Linked DNA regions of Sus scrofa. The protein of the gene in region 4 interacts with the protein of the main gene of each other region in a biochemical or structural test. Links are inferred from orthologs where the notes say so. Each region holds a gene or a part of one and is shown on either strand. Other genes may lie near its edges.

Region 1 (4,302 bases), on a different chromosome or scaffold from region 4:
GTGGGAAGATAGAGGAGAGGGCTGGAGAGAGCCAGAGGTAAAGATGCATGGAGGTGTTCCGGACATGGCTCAGTGGTTAACGAATCCGACTAGGAACCGACTCGGTTCGATCCCTGGCCTTGCTCAGTGGGTTAAAGATCCGACGTTGCCTTGAGCTGTGCTGTAGGTCACAGATGCAGCTCGGATCCCGCGTGGCTGTGGCTGTGGCTGTGGCTGTGGCGTGGGTTGGCCGCTACAGCTCTGATTAGACTCCTAGCCTGGGACTCTCCATATGCCGCGGGATCGGTCCTAGAAAAGGCAAAAAGACCAAAAAAAAAAAAAAAAAAATATATATATATATATATATGCATGGAGAGAGAGCCTGAGGCGGAGGTGGAAACTGTGAACATGAGAAGCCTCAGAGACAGGAGGAAGGTTGAGCCTAGAAGGGGCAAACCGAGGCATAGGATGGGGGCTTGCGCTGGAGCCTCTCCAATGATCTCCCGCAGGAGAGCTACCCTAGTAAACAGCCTTTGAACCTCCAGAATTCATAGCCTGGGCTTGTAGCTGCAATCTGCTCCTGATTGACCGCAGGACTCAGGACTGGCCCCCTGCCCTTCTCTGAGCCTGTTTCTTCCTCTGTGACTCACCTCCGGGTGATGAAGCCGTGGAACCAGGCAGGGGCTTCCCCGTGCTGCAGGAGCTCATGGGCCTGGGTCTTCTGGAACCAAGCCAGAGTCTCTGCCTGTAGGGACAAGGCTTCTTCTCTAGGCATCTCTTCAGCCTTCCCAATGTCTTTTGGGCTGCACGTAGCGCCTGGGGCCTGGATAGAGGAGGAGTTCAAGGAAGGGGAAGAAGCCATGAATAGTGGTCCTTCTCCTGACGGGCCAGGTGGCAGCTGGCTCCTGGATGAAGCCAGCTGTCACCTTCTCATACCTAGCCCCTCCTGGATATGTGGAGAAAGTCACCCCTCATCCCAGTGGCCTATTCTAGGGTGTAATTGCCCAGAAAGTTCTAACTTAAATCTCTTCTTCAGCTCCAGCTGTTTTTTTTTTTTTTTTCTTCTTTCTTTTCTTTTTCTTTTTCTTTCTTTACCTTTTTAGGGCCACTCATTAGGCATATGGAAGTTCCTGGGTTCGGTGTTGAATCAAAGCTGCAGTTGCAGGCCGACGTCACAGCCCCAGCAATGCCAGATCTGAGCCACATCTGCAACCTATGCCTCGGCTTTCGGCAAGACCAGATCCTTAACCCACTGAACGTGGCCAGGGATTGAACCCACATCTTCATGGATGCTAGTTGGGTTTTTAACCCACTGAACCACAATGGGGACACCAGCTCCAGCTGTTTTTGTTTCCAGGGAGTTTCCTTCCACTCTGTCTGGGGCCTGTGGGCCTTTTTGGTGCAGTAGCTGTGAGCTATTAAACTGTGCTTAACGGGAGGTGAGGCCTTCCAGATGGACAGAAAGTCCTTCCCTGGCCTAAGGAATGAAGGGAAGGAACTCCAGAGGCCAGAATGAGGGAGGGCTCACCCTCCATTAGGAGGGACCGAGCTGGGCAGATTTCCCAGTGAAAGGAGGGCAGAGAAAGACTGAGATAAGGCTGTCCTGGCCAAATGAAGGCAATGGACAGAGCTGCAGGTGTGCAAGTTTCTGGAACTCAAATCATTGTACCCTGGTCACTTGTGGACACACCCTGAGCTCCCCAGGGACAGAGGAGCAGTGAGTGGACCATTCAGCACCTGAAGGAGGCCCTCCCCCTCTCCTTTCCCTCCCTCTGTACCCTTGGCCTTGTCGGCAGCCCCAGCTCATTCCTGCCTTGGCCTTTGTCTATCTGCAAGTCCTCAAGTTGGGAGAGTGGGAGCCGAGGAGGGAGCTGCCCCCCCCCAGGTTCCGACTCACCGCCACGTGGACAGTCGGGGCCCTGGGGCTGGGCTGGGCTTCTTCGGCCTTCGGGGCCTGGAGTCTGGGTCCCGGAAGCGAACCCAGGCCCTGGCAGCTCCGGCGGTTCAAGTCCATGGGCTGGAAGGTGCTGAAGGTTACAGCGGGGGCTTCTCGACTCCCTGTTAGCACAGAGAGCTTTCTCAGTGATGGCCGGCCTTTCTGTTGCCCATTCCTCCCTTCAGAGGGACCCCGTGGACCTCTCGCTGGGGGACTGGGGAGTGCCCCTAGGACAGGGACAGTCATGACAGCAGGAGAGATGCAGGAGGGATGCTGAGGTGATTTCTTAGGGAGGAGTAAGGAGCCAAGAGGGTGCAGAGGGCCAAGGCGGCAGAGGGGCTTGTCAGAGAAACTGGGTGCTGGGCAGGAGAGCTGGGAAGCCAGCCAGCCCTCCGATGGCCCGACGTCCCAAAATCTGGGCAGGGAGGCAGATCTCTTCAGGGCAGGTCTGTCTTCTGGCCCAGAATCCCCTGCCCCTTGTCCCCCTTCCTCCTCCCGTTGCCCTCCCCTCCTCTCTAAGGAGCACTCAGCAGACTCTGTCATCTTTATCCTCAGGGCTGCGGGGACCCGGAGCCCCCGAGGAGTAACAGGGGTTGTGAGCCACTTGCCAGCCAGCCCTGCCAGCTCTGGGCCCTAAAGTGGGAGCTAGGGCCAGCGGGGAGAGAGCAGGGATCATGGGGGGGGGTCTTGATATCTCCCCCACCCACGTTCTCCAACTTCACACTTACCTTGGGCGCCTATCTGGGCCAGGGGGAGCTCCATGGGGGCAGCCTAGCAGAGGAGCCCCTAGAGCAGGGTGTGTGTGCGGGCTCTCAAAAGGTGTGCACACTCAGCAAGTCATCCCTCCTCTCACCCAGCCCCTCCGGGGGCAGGAAATGTCGCCTCACCCACAGCCCCAGCCCTCTCGCAGGACTCGCGTCATGGAAAGCCGTAAGACGGTCGCCCCACCCCCGGAAGCCAGGCAGCTGAAGGTGGTGGGGTGCGGTGAGTATTTGTGTCATTCTGTGTCTGGGTCCTTGCTGCTGTCTTATCTCCATCCCCTCTCCACGCCCTCAGTCCAGACTGGGACTTCCCTTTCTGTCCCTCTCTCGGTCCCTCTGTCTCCCTCTCTCTCTCTGAGCAGTGGCAGTGGTAAGGTCAACCTCAGAAGGACAAGCCTGATGAGGTGATGGGGCTTCGGAGTCATCGAAGATTCAGACTCAGGACTGTGCTCTTAGGACGCACATGGAGGGAAGGGAGCAGAGCTGCAACACGAAGAATGTGGGTCAGACTTTTGAAGGACTTTCTGAGGTCATATGGAATCTGTGAGACACAGGGGTGAGGAGGAGGGAGCCTGGCTTCATCCTCAAGCAGATGATGGGTTGGCGGGAGCTGGGTTAGGATATAACTAGGCAATTCCAGAGAAAGGGAGTGGGGATTTCCTCCAACGAAGTGGGTCGTTATTAGCAGCAAGATGATGGGCAGTTGTTATTTAAGGACTTCAGTGCTGATGTCTTAAACCTGCAGTGTGCTTGCTTCCCCTGTCACCCCCAAGGACCAATCCCGTTTCTCTCCAGAGAGATCCGCACACATGAGAAGAAGACAGGGAACATTAATTATCCCCATTTGCCAGGAGGGTAAGCTGAAGCTCAGAGAAGTTACATGCCTTAGCCAGGGGCTTTCAGGGTCTCGGCTGTTGATGGTGGAGCTGGGACTAGAATCTAGCTCTTCTTTTCCACATTTCACTGCGATTTAGGCCAACAGTCTTGAGAGCCCAGAGAGAAAAAGGATCTTGTCTCAAGGTGTCAAGAAGGGGGAATGGGGAGTTCTCATCGTGGTTCAGTGTTAACGAATCCGACTAGGAACTACGAGGTTGTGGGTTTGATCCCTGGCCTCGCTCAGTGGGTTAAGGATCTGGCGTTGCCGTGAGCTGTGGTGTAGGTCACAGACGTGGCTCAGATCCTGAGTTGCTGTGGCTCTGGTGTAGGCTGGTGGCTACAGCTCCAATTCAACCCATAGCCTGGGAACTTCCATATTCTGTGGGTGTGGCCCTGGAAAAGGCAAAAAAAAAAAAAAATCCTGCATTGGTTACCACTTCAAAACAAGTTGCAAAGAGAAACATCCAGGTACCTGACATGCATTTTCACTTGAGGGCTTTCTCCATACAGGGTGCAAGGTGAAACCACTCTTTGGAGTAACCTACAGAAGGAAGAAAGGGGGAGGTACTGATCTTCCCTGCTCCCTCAGTGTTCCCACTTCCCATTGGTTAGGACGATCCCCTAGGACCCGACTTAGACGCTGCATCCCTTGTACCTTGGTATCCACTCAGGAAGCCAAATCGCATGGTGTGGTGGTTGATATTAATCAAAAATGGAGGGGAGGAGTTCCTGCCATGGCACAATGTGATC
Region 2 (4,240 bases), on a different chromosome or scaffold from region 4:
AGCGGTTTCTTATGGAGTGGGGGTTGGGTAGGAAGTAAGCTGGTTCTGGAACAGAGGCTGCCAAGAAAACTGTAAGGACACGCCGGTGGCGCTGCCACTGCCTGCCCTGAGCCTCACTACCCCTCACCCCCCAGCACTGCCCAACTCTGCTTCTCTCTTTTTCCAAGATGCCTCTCTCACATCCTGCTTTAGAGTCAGACCCTGGTGCTGGAAAAGGCAGTGAGATCAGCCTGGGGCAAATGAAATGATTAGGAACTTCAGAGTCTGGGGATTAGGATTCAAATCCCAGCTCAAACATAACTCTGACCCTCAGTTTTCTCATCTGTGAAATGGGACGAAGAATCCCTGCCCTGTAGCTTCAGAGAGAGTGATGTCACACCAGTGAGGTGCTGCTTGTGGAAGCAGTTGGACGCATCTAAGCACTACTTAGAAATAAGAGCTTAAGTAGAATATAACACCTTCATAATACTCGAGACGAAGCGCTCCCCTTTATTCAGCGCTCACCATGTGCCAGGCACTGATTTTATCTATGGTAACCCTTTTAACCTTCTAGTAACCCTGGGAAGTACTGCACCCCCATTAGCAGCCCATTTGACAGAGGAAGATACTGAGATTCAGAGAGGTTAAGCAATTTGCATTGGCCGCATGTCCAGAAAAGTGCTAGAGCAGGGATTCGAACCCAGGCTTGGACTTTAGACTCTTATCTCCTTATACCACAGGGAGTTCAAATGCGGAAGGACACATGAGGTCCAGAGAGGGGGTGTGACTTGCCCAAGGTCACACAATAGGTTAATGAGAAAAGCCAGAACCCTCTCCTCCTCCGAAGTTCCTGCCTGCCCTGCTGTCAGCCTCGTGCTTGGCCAGGTCCTGGACATGCCCCCCTCTGGAAGCGTGTCTATAAATGGCAGTGGAAGGGAATAGATGCTGAGCGCCTTCCTGGGGGCAGCTGAGGACACGGAGCTTTGGCTTTTTCCCCACACGCTCCAAGTGGCCTGGGTTTGTCGGGGCAGGATCGTGGAGCACCCTGGAGGGTTTTCGGCTGGGCGCTGCAGAGCAGCCTTGGGATACAGATTTTGAGGAGCACCCTGGGGCCTGGGTCCTCCCTCAGGACCAGGATCGAGGATGTCTGTCTACTGATTTGGAAACGGCTTTTGTACCACCCTGGGCGAGTGTCCTTTCCTCTCTGGGCCTCAGTTGTCCCATCTGTATAATGGGAATATGATAATAACAGACACATAAAACATGCTCATTTTAATTTCTCAATGGTTCTCTGAAGAAGGTACTCTTACTGTGGGGCTGGAGAGGCTAAGGGATTGATCTAAAGTCATACAACCCACAGAACCTGTCAGTGGACCTGGACTTGAACCCACATGGTCTTGGCTCCAAGACCCACAATCTCTGCCACCACTTTGTAGATTTAAGATCTAAGCCTCTCTCTGCTTCTGGGATTCTGGAACCCAGGGGACCAGGCTTGGGATTAAGCAAAGGGCAGGCGGCCCCTCAAGCTTTTCTTTAAACTCTTCTCACTTTTTTTCTTTTTGCTGTTTTCAGGCCGACCTGCAGCACATGCAACTTCCCCAGCTAGGGGGTGAATGGGAACTGCAGCTGTCAGCCTACGCCACAGCCACAGCAACGTGGGATCCGAGCCGAAATTGTGACCTCTGCTGCAGCTCACGGCAATGCCAGATCCTTAACCCACTGTCTTCTCACTTTTTTTTTTTTGGCCGCACCCACGGCATGCGGAAGTTCCCTGGGCCAGGGATTGAACCCACACCGTAGCAGTGACCCCAGTCACAGCAGGGACGATGCTGGATCTTAACCCACTTAGCCACCAGGGAACTCCAAACCCTTCCCACTTTGAACACTCCCTGAAGCACCACTGGCTCTCCCTAGGCAAGGCTGTTCTCACTCCTTTATTTCCTGACACCTTCCTCTCCTGTCCCCACCAGCGCACTTTCTAGCTCTTTCCTTTCTGCTCTAAGGGTGAGGGGAGGGTCGCTGGGCTCAGTCTGTGTGGATGCTGGCGGGCTGTGGGTAAGGAGGGCTTCAGGCAGCTCAGACCTATTTAGAGTCCTGCCCACCCACTGGACTCCCATCTCTCCCTTTGTTCCCAAGCTCTCTGGAGGCAGGGGCATCCTGATTCCTTGGCAACCCCCCTTGTCCGTTTCACTACCAGCTTCTCCTGGACTTAGTCTTTCCTTCCTACAAGCCCAGGTCAGCAGACAGACAGGGTGGCAGAGGGGGAGGCCCGAGTCTCCCCCATGCACCTTGCCTCAATAGCTCCACCCCCTCGTTCCCCTCCCAGATCCAGTGAGGCAGACCCGGGGACCGCAGGCAGGGACCCACAGGACCAGCGAAGGCCATGTCCCCATCTCCTGGATTCCCAGTGGCCTCTGAAGGGCCCCGCAGGGAGCTCAGGGCCAGACCCCATTGTGGGGGCACTCTGGGCTGCGAGGCAGGAAGCTGGGTGCTGCGTCTTGGGGACCCCCCAGCAAGCCTCTGCCCCTCTCTGGACCTCGGTTCTTTCATCTGTAACTGAGGCTACAGCTTTCATTCTCCCCAAGTGCTGCCCTGGGTCCCGAGGGAACATCTTCCTCTCGGGCTCAGCCCCCTCCCCATTTCTCTCCACCTTCCCTTCGGGCCCCAGCAGAAGTGGAGGGGCTGAGACAAAGGCTGGGGGAAGGTGCTGAGCCTCCCGCTCTTCTCCAGGAAGAAAGGCACCTACCTGGTGTCCAGGGCGGCACGGCTGTGTGCACTCCAGGCTCCGGGACAGGGCGTCAGCGCCCAGGTGAGTTGCAAGGCCTGGCCCCGCCTTAAGAGCAGCCGGGCGGCCCCGCCCTCCCTCCGCCCCACGCGGTCCTGCACGTGGCCTGACCGCGGGCCCCACCCGGGTGTCTGGAGGAGCTCAGGTGGGGCGGCACCGGCGGGGGAAGGGAAGCGCTTGGGTGGGAGCCTGGCCTGGTGGGCGCTGGGGCCAGATTGTGGGGTGGGGGTCTCCCAAGCTTCCTGCTTCCCATACCCTCCCAGCACATGGTGCCTGGGAGGGGGGGACTCCTGCTTGGACAAGGCCCTGTTAGGGCCATTCCCTTCACCAGTGTGCCAGCCAGGGGAGGGACCTGGGGCTGGCAGGGCTAGCAGACAATGAGGCCCAGGCCTTGGCCTTGGGGCGGCAGGAGGCCAGTGAGCAGGAGACCCTCCCCACAGGCCCCTCCTCTGCTCTCTGGGCTGGGTCACACTGCAGCAGGCACAGGGTAGGGGCCCACTGGAACTAAGACTGGGCACAGACATGGTCTTTTCTTTTTTTTTTCTTTTTGGGCTGCATTTGCAGCACATGGAAAGTCCCAGGCTAGGGGTCGAATCAGAGCTGCAGCTGCTGGCCTACACCACAGCCACAGCAATGCGGAATCCAAGCTGAGCCAGAGCGCATGGCAACGCCGGATCCTTAACCCACTGAGTGAGGTCAGGGATGGAACCCGTGTCCTCAGGGATATTAGTTGGGTTTGCTTCCACTGAGCCGCCGCGGGAACTCCAGACCTTGCCTTTCATTCTTCGCCTGGGGATGAGCTTTGCACTGAAGGCGGGCGTGGGCTCTGAGGGCTGGAGGGCTTTGAGAAGGGCCCAAAGCCTTGCTCAACTTCATTCATTCTCTCAAGCACTATCCCTTAGCACCATCTGGAGGATGTTCCTTGTGGGAGCGACAGTAGAAGCCCAGGCATTCTGTCTCCCGGGCTCCAACTCCCTCCTTGTTTTGTGCCAAGGGTCCCAGGGCGTTTTGAGGGGACATCCAGGGGCACTGGTGGTCAAGCTGGGCCCCATCTGGGCAGGGTGGCCTGAAGCAAAGGGACCGGCAAAGTCTCCAGCCCAGGGACTCACAATGATCTCCGCAGTGGTTAATCTCGGGTGTGCATGAGCTGCCCAGTGCCAGCATTAAGCCCAGTGAAAGGGCTCCTTTTTTTTTTTTGTCTTTTTGCCTTTTCTAGGTCCGCTCCCGAGGCATATAGAGGTTCCCAGGCTAGGGGTCTAACCGGAGCTGTAGCCGCCGGCCTACACCAGAGCCACAGCACCGCGGGATCTGAGCCTCGTCTGAGACCTACACCACAGCTCACGGCAACACCAGATCCTTCACCCCCTGAGCAAGGCCAGGGATCGAATCCGCAGCCTCATGGTTCCTGCAGCCTCATGGTATCTAGTTGGATTCGTTAACCACTGCACCACGACGGGAACGCCTCTTTTTTCTTTC
Region 3 (3,993 bases), on a different chromosome or scaffold from region 4:
GAACGTTAAGCCCTAGCCATTTTCACTACCAACAATGTGTTTGGCCTTTTGAAATGTTAACAACTTGAAATAGCTTTAAGAGAACCATTTCTAAGTCTTGATGGTCTAATCTCCTCCCTTCCCAAAATAAGAATTATAGACAGACTCCTTCCTCACCTTATAGAAGAGCATAAGCTCCAAAGGCAGATAACATGGAGTATTCAGTAAAACTCTCTCCACCTGCCTCTTCCTCCAGTCACTGTCCCTATGGTATCACCCTCTCTCCCTTCACCAGTTCTGGGAGCCAGAGAGAGGAGGAGGAGCCATGGAAACTAAGATCAGGAAAGAGAGGGCTGTAAGTCTTGCCTATGTAGTGGAGGCTCCTAGGATACTTAGATCTGATTTGCTGATGACCTGTTCTGCCCTCAAACTCCAAAGTAACATGAGGGTAACAAGACTGACCTCTTCCTTTGGTAACTTCCTTTTAAGCAAATGCTTTTTTAAAATGATCAGATAACAGCCAAAGAGAAGAAAACTATGGGTCACATTATTTAACTGACAAATGGGATTTGGGATTAAAGAGTGATTCTATCAATACATAATCCACGCATACTTGTCCTTCTTTTATTATTTCCAGAAGGTGGTATGACTATTATTATTACCAATTTCGCAACACCTTATCCTTAAAGGCTAAGGTCCAATCGTTCCTTTCCCATTACTTCTGTTCCCTTATTTGTGCTAAAAATGCAGTTATTTGGGGGGAAACGGTGGAGGGGAGTGAATATAAAACTTGAGATACAACATAGATAGGACTGGACCCTCATTTGAGGGTCACGTGGCAGGGTATGAAAGAGCATAGTATCTGGAATCAAACAGACTGGAGTCCTCATCCTGGCTCTGGAACACTGGGAAGAATGCTTAACCTTTCTGAGCTTCGGTTCTCACGTCTGTAAATGGATAACAACTCCCACTGAATAATGTTTTGCAAAGATTAGCCTTCCTAGACATAAAACGTTTGTTAGAGCTGCAGACATATAGGATGTGGCCACGAATAGCTCTTTCCATCTCAATTTAGCCAGTGGATCAGGAAAGAGAGGGCAAGAAAGCCACTAGGAGATCGGGGAGTGCTTTTCTTTTGAAGCAGCTTGTCTTATACAAACACACATCTCACTGGCTACATTGTCACCTTACCCTCTACTCACCTCTGACTGAATCATCTACAATATAGCCAGATATGTGCGGTTCGTTATCGTACTCTTCAGCATAGTCATAGTCGCTACCAGAAGGCATTTCGCTAGCAGGGGGAGCCTCACTTCCCGAGGACATCTCACTTCTGGAGGTCACCTCAAATGCCTCAGCACCATGGTCCCCAGAAAATGGTTCTCCTTTCCCAGAGGAGGTGCCGTTGACGTCCAGTCCAGCAGCATAATGGGCTATGGGAACAAGGGCAAAATGGAAGAGAAGATAAAGCAGAATGTCTTTTCTCCCCAGTCAGCAGAGCGCAGGAGCAGCGCGCAGGAGAAATGTTTATCTTTTGATAGCAAAGCAGTTATTGCACATGTGCTATTGTTTATGATTGAGTCACTTTATGAAAGCAACTTCACATTTTTGCCAAGAAGCAAACTCAGCTGTTCCAATGACAGAGCTTCTTTCATTAAGGTTTTCATTTCCATAGAGAATGTACATTAATTCCCACATCAAAAAAAAAAAAAAGAAAGAAAGAAAGAAAGAAACAAAATACTGCAGAAGAGGTAAATCAAGTTGCTACACTTATTTAACAGGTAATATCTAAACATTGCCATGACTTCACATATGAAATGCATTTGTGTTTGTTAGGATGCTACCTGTCCTATTTTAATAAACAGGTTCTAGAAATAAATACCGGGTTTTCTTAACATATGCTCACGTTTAAGAAGACTATGTACAGGAAATGTTAAAAAGTAATGAAAATAGAAATTGATTATAATTCTCCTTATTGCCACTGTTTATTACTGTTCTCACAAAGAGAAGAAACTAGAGATGAAGTTAAGATTTGGGGGCCAGAGTTTCAAGTCCCTGCTTTATCTTTTAGATCTAAACAAAACAGTGTCAAAGTGGTGCTTTTAACTTCTCTCTGGGACGATGCGAAACCCTCTAGAAAGGGAAAAAACAAAAGTACTTGACAGAGGAGATGGAGAATCGAGGCAGAAGGCTGCGCGTCTCCTTCCAGGATTTAACTACTCTACTCCAAAATCTGTGGAAATCACTTCACCTCTGGACGTCGGTTGGTTTCTTTATCGGTCAAGCGAAGGGTTGGCTCACAGGCTCTCTAAGCAGGAGATCCTTCAGCTGGACTAAAGTAAAAGTACAAGGAGTTTCCGGCCCCCTCTTGATGGCCTGGAACATCTAAGATACACCTGCCCACTCCCAGGGAGTAACGTACAGAGGGAGGGACCAAGGTCACCTCCCACCAGACAGAACCAGGGCCGCCAAATGGCGATTTTTTAGAGAATCAGCAGCAAAATTCAAGGAGCGACCGTTTTGCCCCGGCTGGGAGAAGTGCTCAGCAGCTCAGAGCCGGGATGTCCTCACCTGAGCAGAGGATCAAGAGTGACAGCACCACGGGCGCCGGCGGCAGCAGCGGAGCTCTCATTGGTCCCGCGGAGCTGTGGCGTCGCGGTCTCTGGGGCAACTCGGCCGGGAGCTGCGGGCGGGCGGGAGGAGGTGACCGGGGACCAGGGGCGCCGAGCAGCTGTGCTCAGAGGCCCGGCCGGGCTCGGGCGCTGGAGGCAGCGCCTGGAGCTCGCCTCGGGATTCCCTGGGCTCCGGCTCCCGCACAAGGTGTGCGAACATTCCGGAGGCGCGGCGCGCACCAGTGGCTTTATAGGCCGGGCGGGACCCGGGCATCGCCCGTGACGTCACGGTCGCCGCGGAGGGTGGAGGCGGGCGGCCGCCCCAGGACAGGTTACTACCCCAAAACCACAAACGGATGCCAGGCGCCCCACCTCCTCGGAGCGCAGAGAGCCGCTGGGAGGAAGTGAAAATGAAGACCCTTGCTGCCGGCTGGGGAAAAAAAAAAAAAGACCAATTCTTATTTGAGAGCAAGGGTGGAGTTGCAAGCTAATATCTGACATTCAGAAATCCCAAATTTTCAAACTATCTGGAGGAAAAAAAAAAAAAAACCTTCAGATTATGCTTTGGTTGATCTGAATATTACAACAGACAGGGATTAACTAGAAAATTTCCTATTAAAATATAAAATTACTTAAAGCCCAAGAGTGACTTAACAAGGAAAGCCCCACCCCATGTCTTTAATGCGAATAATGACGTTTATTCCATGACTAGAGAGCCATGCCTCCTAAGGAGAAGCTGTTTTGTATACCATGGGCCTGGATCTCAACCCTGGAGATTCCCCTCCACTACTGTGAAGCAGCCTGCATTTCCAATCATCTCCCTCCCCATTTATCCCATTTCTTTATATAACCTAGGGTCCTTGTCAAAATGATAGTTTATTGATCATTAATTTATGTTGTGGAACTGTACACTAAGCATATTACCTACACCAGGTCACTCCAGAACCTTGCTAGGCAAGTATCATTTTTTTCTATGTTTTACAAGAGGGACACCTGTCAGCTTTACCAAGCAAGGAGTACTTTACCCCGCTGGTCATGGCAAAAGCCAGATGGACCTAACTTCGAGTTCCACTGACTCTAAAATCTCTTTCCTCTCTGATAAAGGGATTTAGGCTAAACTTCTCTTTGGAAAGAAAGTTTCTGGGGAGAACAATAGTTAGCCTACAGGAGTAATCTCTACTGGTAGTGTGTTGGCATGAAGGGTAGTGCCCAAGAGTTTGCCTCTGCAATCCCCAGATAAAAGGGCCAGATTTTAGTGCCTATTTAGAATCTAGTAGGACATTTTAATCATGACAAGTAGATAAAATGAGAGGGAGAGAATTGCTTCATTTGACTAAGTTTGATGTATCTACAATTCCAGAACTGGATTTTTCTTGACTTGAGGAAGAGGAAAAAAGCATTA
Region 4 (4,132 bases):
AGACACACCCTGGCTGCGTCCTCTGCCCACTGCTGTCACTTTGGTGCCCTTCTCTAGCAGGTGGCGCTTTTCTTTACAGACCATTTCTGCCTTCGTTTGAAGAGCGTGGAGGGACCAAAGCCATGGCCTGCAGAACCTACAAAGCCTTCTTCATCCTTAAATGGATGAAGGGACTTCCTTAAAACAAAGAAACAAACACAAATGATTCTCATCTTAAAGTTCCACGGACCCAATGCTCGGTAAGGAAAGATGCAAAGCTTTGCTCCCCCACATGTAGGAAAGGCCCTGCTTTAGCTCCACTTACTGCAGGTTTATGATTCCTGCTTAAAAGGTGGGGCCAACCAGAGCTGAAGGCCCGCGAGAAGTCACAATGGGTCTTGTGGGAGAGGGAGTCGGCTGTAGACAGGCAGAAGACATCTGTCCTGAAGGAGGAGGAGGAGTAGGGCAGGGCGGGCTTTGCTGGAAGCATTTAGCTAAAACCTTCCTGCAGCCCGAGAAAGCCGGCTTTCTTCTGGCCGAATCCTGAGTAGGTTTCCCCGGCTTTTCTCCTGTCAGAGTTGCAGCGTGGTTGTCTTCAGGCAGGGGGGCCCACAGCTAGTGTGTGTGCTAAGCCTTTATTCTAAGTGCTTGACTTTTTTGAAGTGATTTCCTGCAATCATTCGTCTTTCAAGTACTGCTCGCTGGTGCACGGCCCATGAAATGCTGCGGGCTCCTTTGGTGCCTATGCATTCACTCAACAAACATTTCCCCAAGGCCAGAATCTGTGCTAGAGGTGGGAGTCCTTATTTCAGATGATTTCAAGGGTGCTTGACGGGACCTGAAGGACCCTGGGACTTGAGTGCATCTCAGAGGCCAGGGGGCGCCTCTGCCGCCAGGCCAGCCTCTGACCCGCCCTGGGATCCCGAGGTGCTCAGAGAAGTTGGGGCCACAATTAAACAGTGGTCTCCCCCGCTGGGCCAGCATCCGGCCTTGGGCAGAAGGCTCGGTCTGCTCCGCGCCGGGACACGTCTGCTCTGCAACTTGGAGGACGGCGGAGGGGAATGGGCAACCCGGGGGCAAAGGTGGCTCCAGGAAGGTCAGGTCGCCAGCAGCAGGCAAGTGGGCGAGGACCTGCCCTGCCGGCGGGGCAGCGCGGGGCAGTCCTCCCGGGGCTCGGCTCCGCAGCCCGCTCCCGCGCGGCGCTCCTCCCGCTGTCGCCTCCTCCGCCCCGCGCGCCGCCCGCCCCTCCTCCCGGTCCCTCCTCCTCGAGCCCGGCCTCCCCGCGCCCCCGCCCCCGCCCCCGCGAGCCAGACGTCCGGGCGGCCGGCGCAGCGCGCAGCCTCCGCCCCGGCTCGGAGCTCACGCCCGCGGCCCGCGCGATCCCCGTCCGCTCCGGCCGCCGAGCCCGCGCCCCGCGCCCCGGCCATCGCTGCGTCCCGACCGAGCGCCGAGCCCCGCGCGATGCGACGCTCCTGGGCGGGCGGCGCCGCGCTCCTGGCGCTGCTGGCCGCGCACTTCCAGGCGAGTCCGGCGCTGGAGGAGAAGAAAGGTAGGGGCGACCGCGCCGCCGTCCCGCCCGTCCTCAGGCGGCCGCGCAGCCTCGGGCGCGGCGGGCCGAGGAGCCCGAGCGCCGCTTCCCTTCCGCCCTCCCGGCCCCCGCGGGGTGGACGCCCCGGCGAGCGCGTCCCCGCACGTGCGCCCGCGGTGCGCCGGGCTGGGGGGCGGCGCAGGCGGGACGCGGGGCCCGTGCCCGGACCCCGGGACCCGAGCGGCCCTCCGCGCCCGGCCCCGCACCCGCGCCCCACGCCGGAGCCAGCTCCCCGACCCCTCTCCTGGCGCGGCCTTGACCCAGAGGCTCGAGAGCTCGTTCCGGGCACTGGCCACCTGCGCTTCGGGACCGGGAGGCCAGAGGTCCTCCGGCCCCACCGCCCCTCCGCGTCCCGCAGCGCCTCCCGCCGTCCGCATCCCTCGGGCGGCGAGTAGCCACTTCCCGGGACTCCCGAGATTTGTCCCCTCTTGCAGCCCTTGGGCGGCGTGTCCGCGCTTCGCAGTGGAAGGGACGGGGCGGTGGGAGCGGCCGCGGCAGGAGGGCCAGTTCTGGGGCGAACGGTCCAGGGGCGGGACGCATCCGGGCCGGCCGGGTCCCCACAGTTTCAAAATATGGCTCACAGCAAGCGTTCCTCCTCAAAATCTAGAGATTTCTCTCTCTGGGATGTGTCTTTTAGCTTTTTGAAGAATTTGACATCAGGCCAACCAAAATATTAAACTTTAAAAAAAAAAAAAACCGGATTGATGTCCGTGGTTCACGTGGGCCAAATGTCCAGACCAAACATGAGCGAGTCTGGCTTCGTGACTACCGACCATAAACCCACTTGACATGAGAAACATGCCTGAGAAGGTTTAATTGCACAATTTCAGACTCAAGCAGCCGGGGTTCCAAGAGTCAGGTCTGTACTTGCTGTTGATGTCACTGGCACAGCGAGACAGGGTTTGGTGCTGAGTGCGATGGTGGGGGGAGCAGTAAGTCCTAAAGCAGTGCACCCCAAACTTGGCTGCAAATTAGAATCGGTTGGGATTTAAAACGAAACAAGACACCTTGTCTGGCTCCCACCCCCAGACTGCCTAATTTCACTGGTCTGGGATGAGACTGAGGCATCTGGATTTTGAAAAGCTCCTCAGGTGCTTCTGCTGGGCAGCCAGGCGTGGATCTCACTGGCCATGGAGGTGAAATCCCTGAAGTGATTACCTGCAAGGGTCAAAAGCTCTTTCAGAACCACTGGAGTTTTAACAACCTTGCAAAATATGGGAAAGAGGAGGTGAGGGATGGTATGAGTGACCAGGCATATGCCTCTTTTCACTGAAAGCGTCTCCTGACGGGTCTCGAGGCCCTGCTGCTCCCTGCTGTGAGCCCAAGGCTGTGGTCCTGCTCCTGAGATAGTTGACCGCAGGGTCCTTTGAGCAGCAGGGGCCCTGCTGCTCCCTGCTGTGAGCCCCAGGCTGTTGGGGGTGGGGGCATCCTTATTTTAAATTAAAGTGTTGGAGCATCTCCAAAGCACCACCTTTCTCCAGAAGAGCCCGCAGCTCTCCGCTGGTACCCCTTTGAACACTGCTGTTACCGCTTGGAGATTTGTTTCTAAGAAAAATATAAATACCACTTAATTTGCCTGTTAATCCCGTATTTGTTTAAAACAGAATGCTCCTGAATAGAATAGTGGGATTAGATGAACAAATGTCATTGGGCTAAAGTAAATAAGATGACCAAGTAGGGCAAAATATTAACCCAAAGTGTGAAAGACCCATGTCAGTCACATTTGGTCAGCTTTGTTCTAGAGAATTTACTCATTTTAGAGAGATCTGTTTGGTTCTAAGATGTAGTGTCTTTGTTCTCACTGCACTTGGTCCTGCCAGACGCTGTTTTAAGTTTCCTTTGAGTCCTCACAAACCATACGAGGTGGGTCCTCTCTAGTCTGTGGGGAAACCCAGGTCTGGGAAGTAAAGCGACTTTTCCAAGGCCAGCAAGAGGCAGAACCCGGATTCACACTCAGGCCTCTGGCCTCCCAGAGGCTCCCCTGCCACCTGACTGCGATGCCTTGTGGGTTCTGATCTCTGGAGCCCTGCCGTGTGTGTGTGTGTGTGTGTGTGTGTGTGTGTGTGTGTGTGTGTGTGTGTGTGAGAGAGAGAGAGAGTGAGTGTATGTGTCGGGGGTGGGGGGAGATGGGGATGCCGCCCTCCTGCCGTTGGGACCCCTCTCCTGGCACTTGGGAGGCGCCTGTGGAGGAGCTCAGTCACAGCGAGGAGCTGGGAGACGCTGGGGGGGTGTTGAGCAAGCCCCTCGCTCTAGCAAAGCTGAGGGTGAAGGTGCTGCTGCGGCAGTGACCTTGGGTGGGATTCCACCTGGGCAGGCCCTCCTTTTAGGACATCCGTGTGCCGTGGGTCTGGGCTGTGTTGAAGAGGACCTGCTCGGGGGCTTTGAATGGTATCCAGAGAGAACCCTCCTTCCTCTGAGAAGCCCGGACCTGAGGACGCCCATCAGGACAGGCCGGGAGCCCAGGGGCCCGGGGCCGGGCTCTTGCTTGGTATGATGTGGACGCGTCCCTCGCCAGCTCTGGGTCCTTATTTCTCAATTCAGTGGCTATTTACTGAGTGCAGGGCA

The links.
Region 1: the proteins of EGFR (region 4) and SH2D2A form a complex in vitro, tested with the Homo sapiens proteins (2 studies listed by BioGRID and IntAct, with this or other methods). The link is inferred for Sus scrofa from reciprocal best matches to the Homo sapiens genes EGFR and SH2D2A.
Region 2: the proteins of EGFR (region 4) and TNS4 form a complex in vitro, tested with the Homo sapiens proteins (2 studies listed by BioGRID and IntAct, with this or other methods). The link is inferred for Sus scrofa from reciprocal best matches to the Homo sapiens genes EGFR and TNS4.
Region 3: the proteins of EGFR (region 4) and AREG form a complex in vitro, tested with the Homo sapiens proteins (2 studies listed by BioGRID and IntAct, with this or other methods). The link is inferred for Sus scrofa from reciprocal best matches to the Homo sapiens genes EGFR and AREG.

The regions. Positions count from the first base shown.
Region 1 is NC_010446.5:93,280,881-93,285,182, reverse strand, and holds the start of SH2D2A (SH2 domain-containing protein 2A), read right to left. Parts: upstream 2,801-4,302; 5' UTR 2,678-2,800; coding exon 2,644-2,677; intron 2,038-2,643; coding exon 1,877-2,037; intron 803-1,876; coding exon 630-802; intron 1-629. UniProt on the Homo sapiens protein: Could be a T-cell-specific adapter protein involved in the control of T-cell activation. May play a role in the CD4-p56-LCK-dependent signal transduction pathway. Could also play an important role in normal and pathological angiogenesis.
Region 2 is NC_010454.4:21,922,776-21,927,015, reverse strand, and holds the start of TNS4 (tensin-4), read right to left. Parts: upstream 2,801-4,240; 5' UTR 2,726-2,800; intron 1-2,725. UniProt on the Homo sapiens protein: Promotes EGF-induced cell migration by displacing tensin TNS3 from the cytoplasmic tail of integrin ITGB1 which results in dissociation of TNS3 from focal adhesions, disassembly of actin stress fibers and initiation of cell migration.
Region 3 is NC_010450.4:70,416,742-70,420,734, reverse strand, and holds the start of AREG (amphiregulin precursor), read right to left. Parts: upstream 2,801-3,993; 5' UTR 2,612-2,800; coding exon 2,551-2,611; intron 1,413-2,550; coding exon 1,182-1,412; intron 1-1,181.
Region 4 is NC_010451.4:139,301,083-139,305,214, forward strand, and holds the start of EGFR (epidermal growth factor receptor precursor), read left to right. Parts: upstream 1-1,327; 5' UTR 1,328-1,440; coding exon 1,441-1,528; intron 1,529-4,132. UniProt on the Homo sapiens protein: Receptor tyrosine kinase binding ligands of the EGF family and activating several signaling cascades to convert extracellular cues into appropriate cellular responses.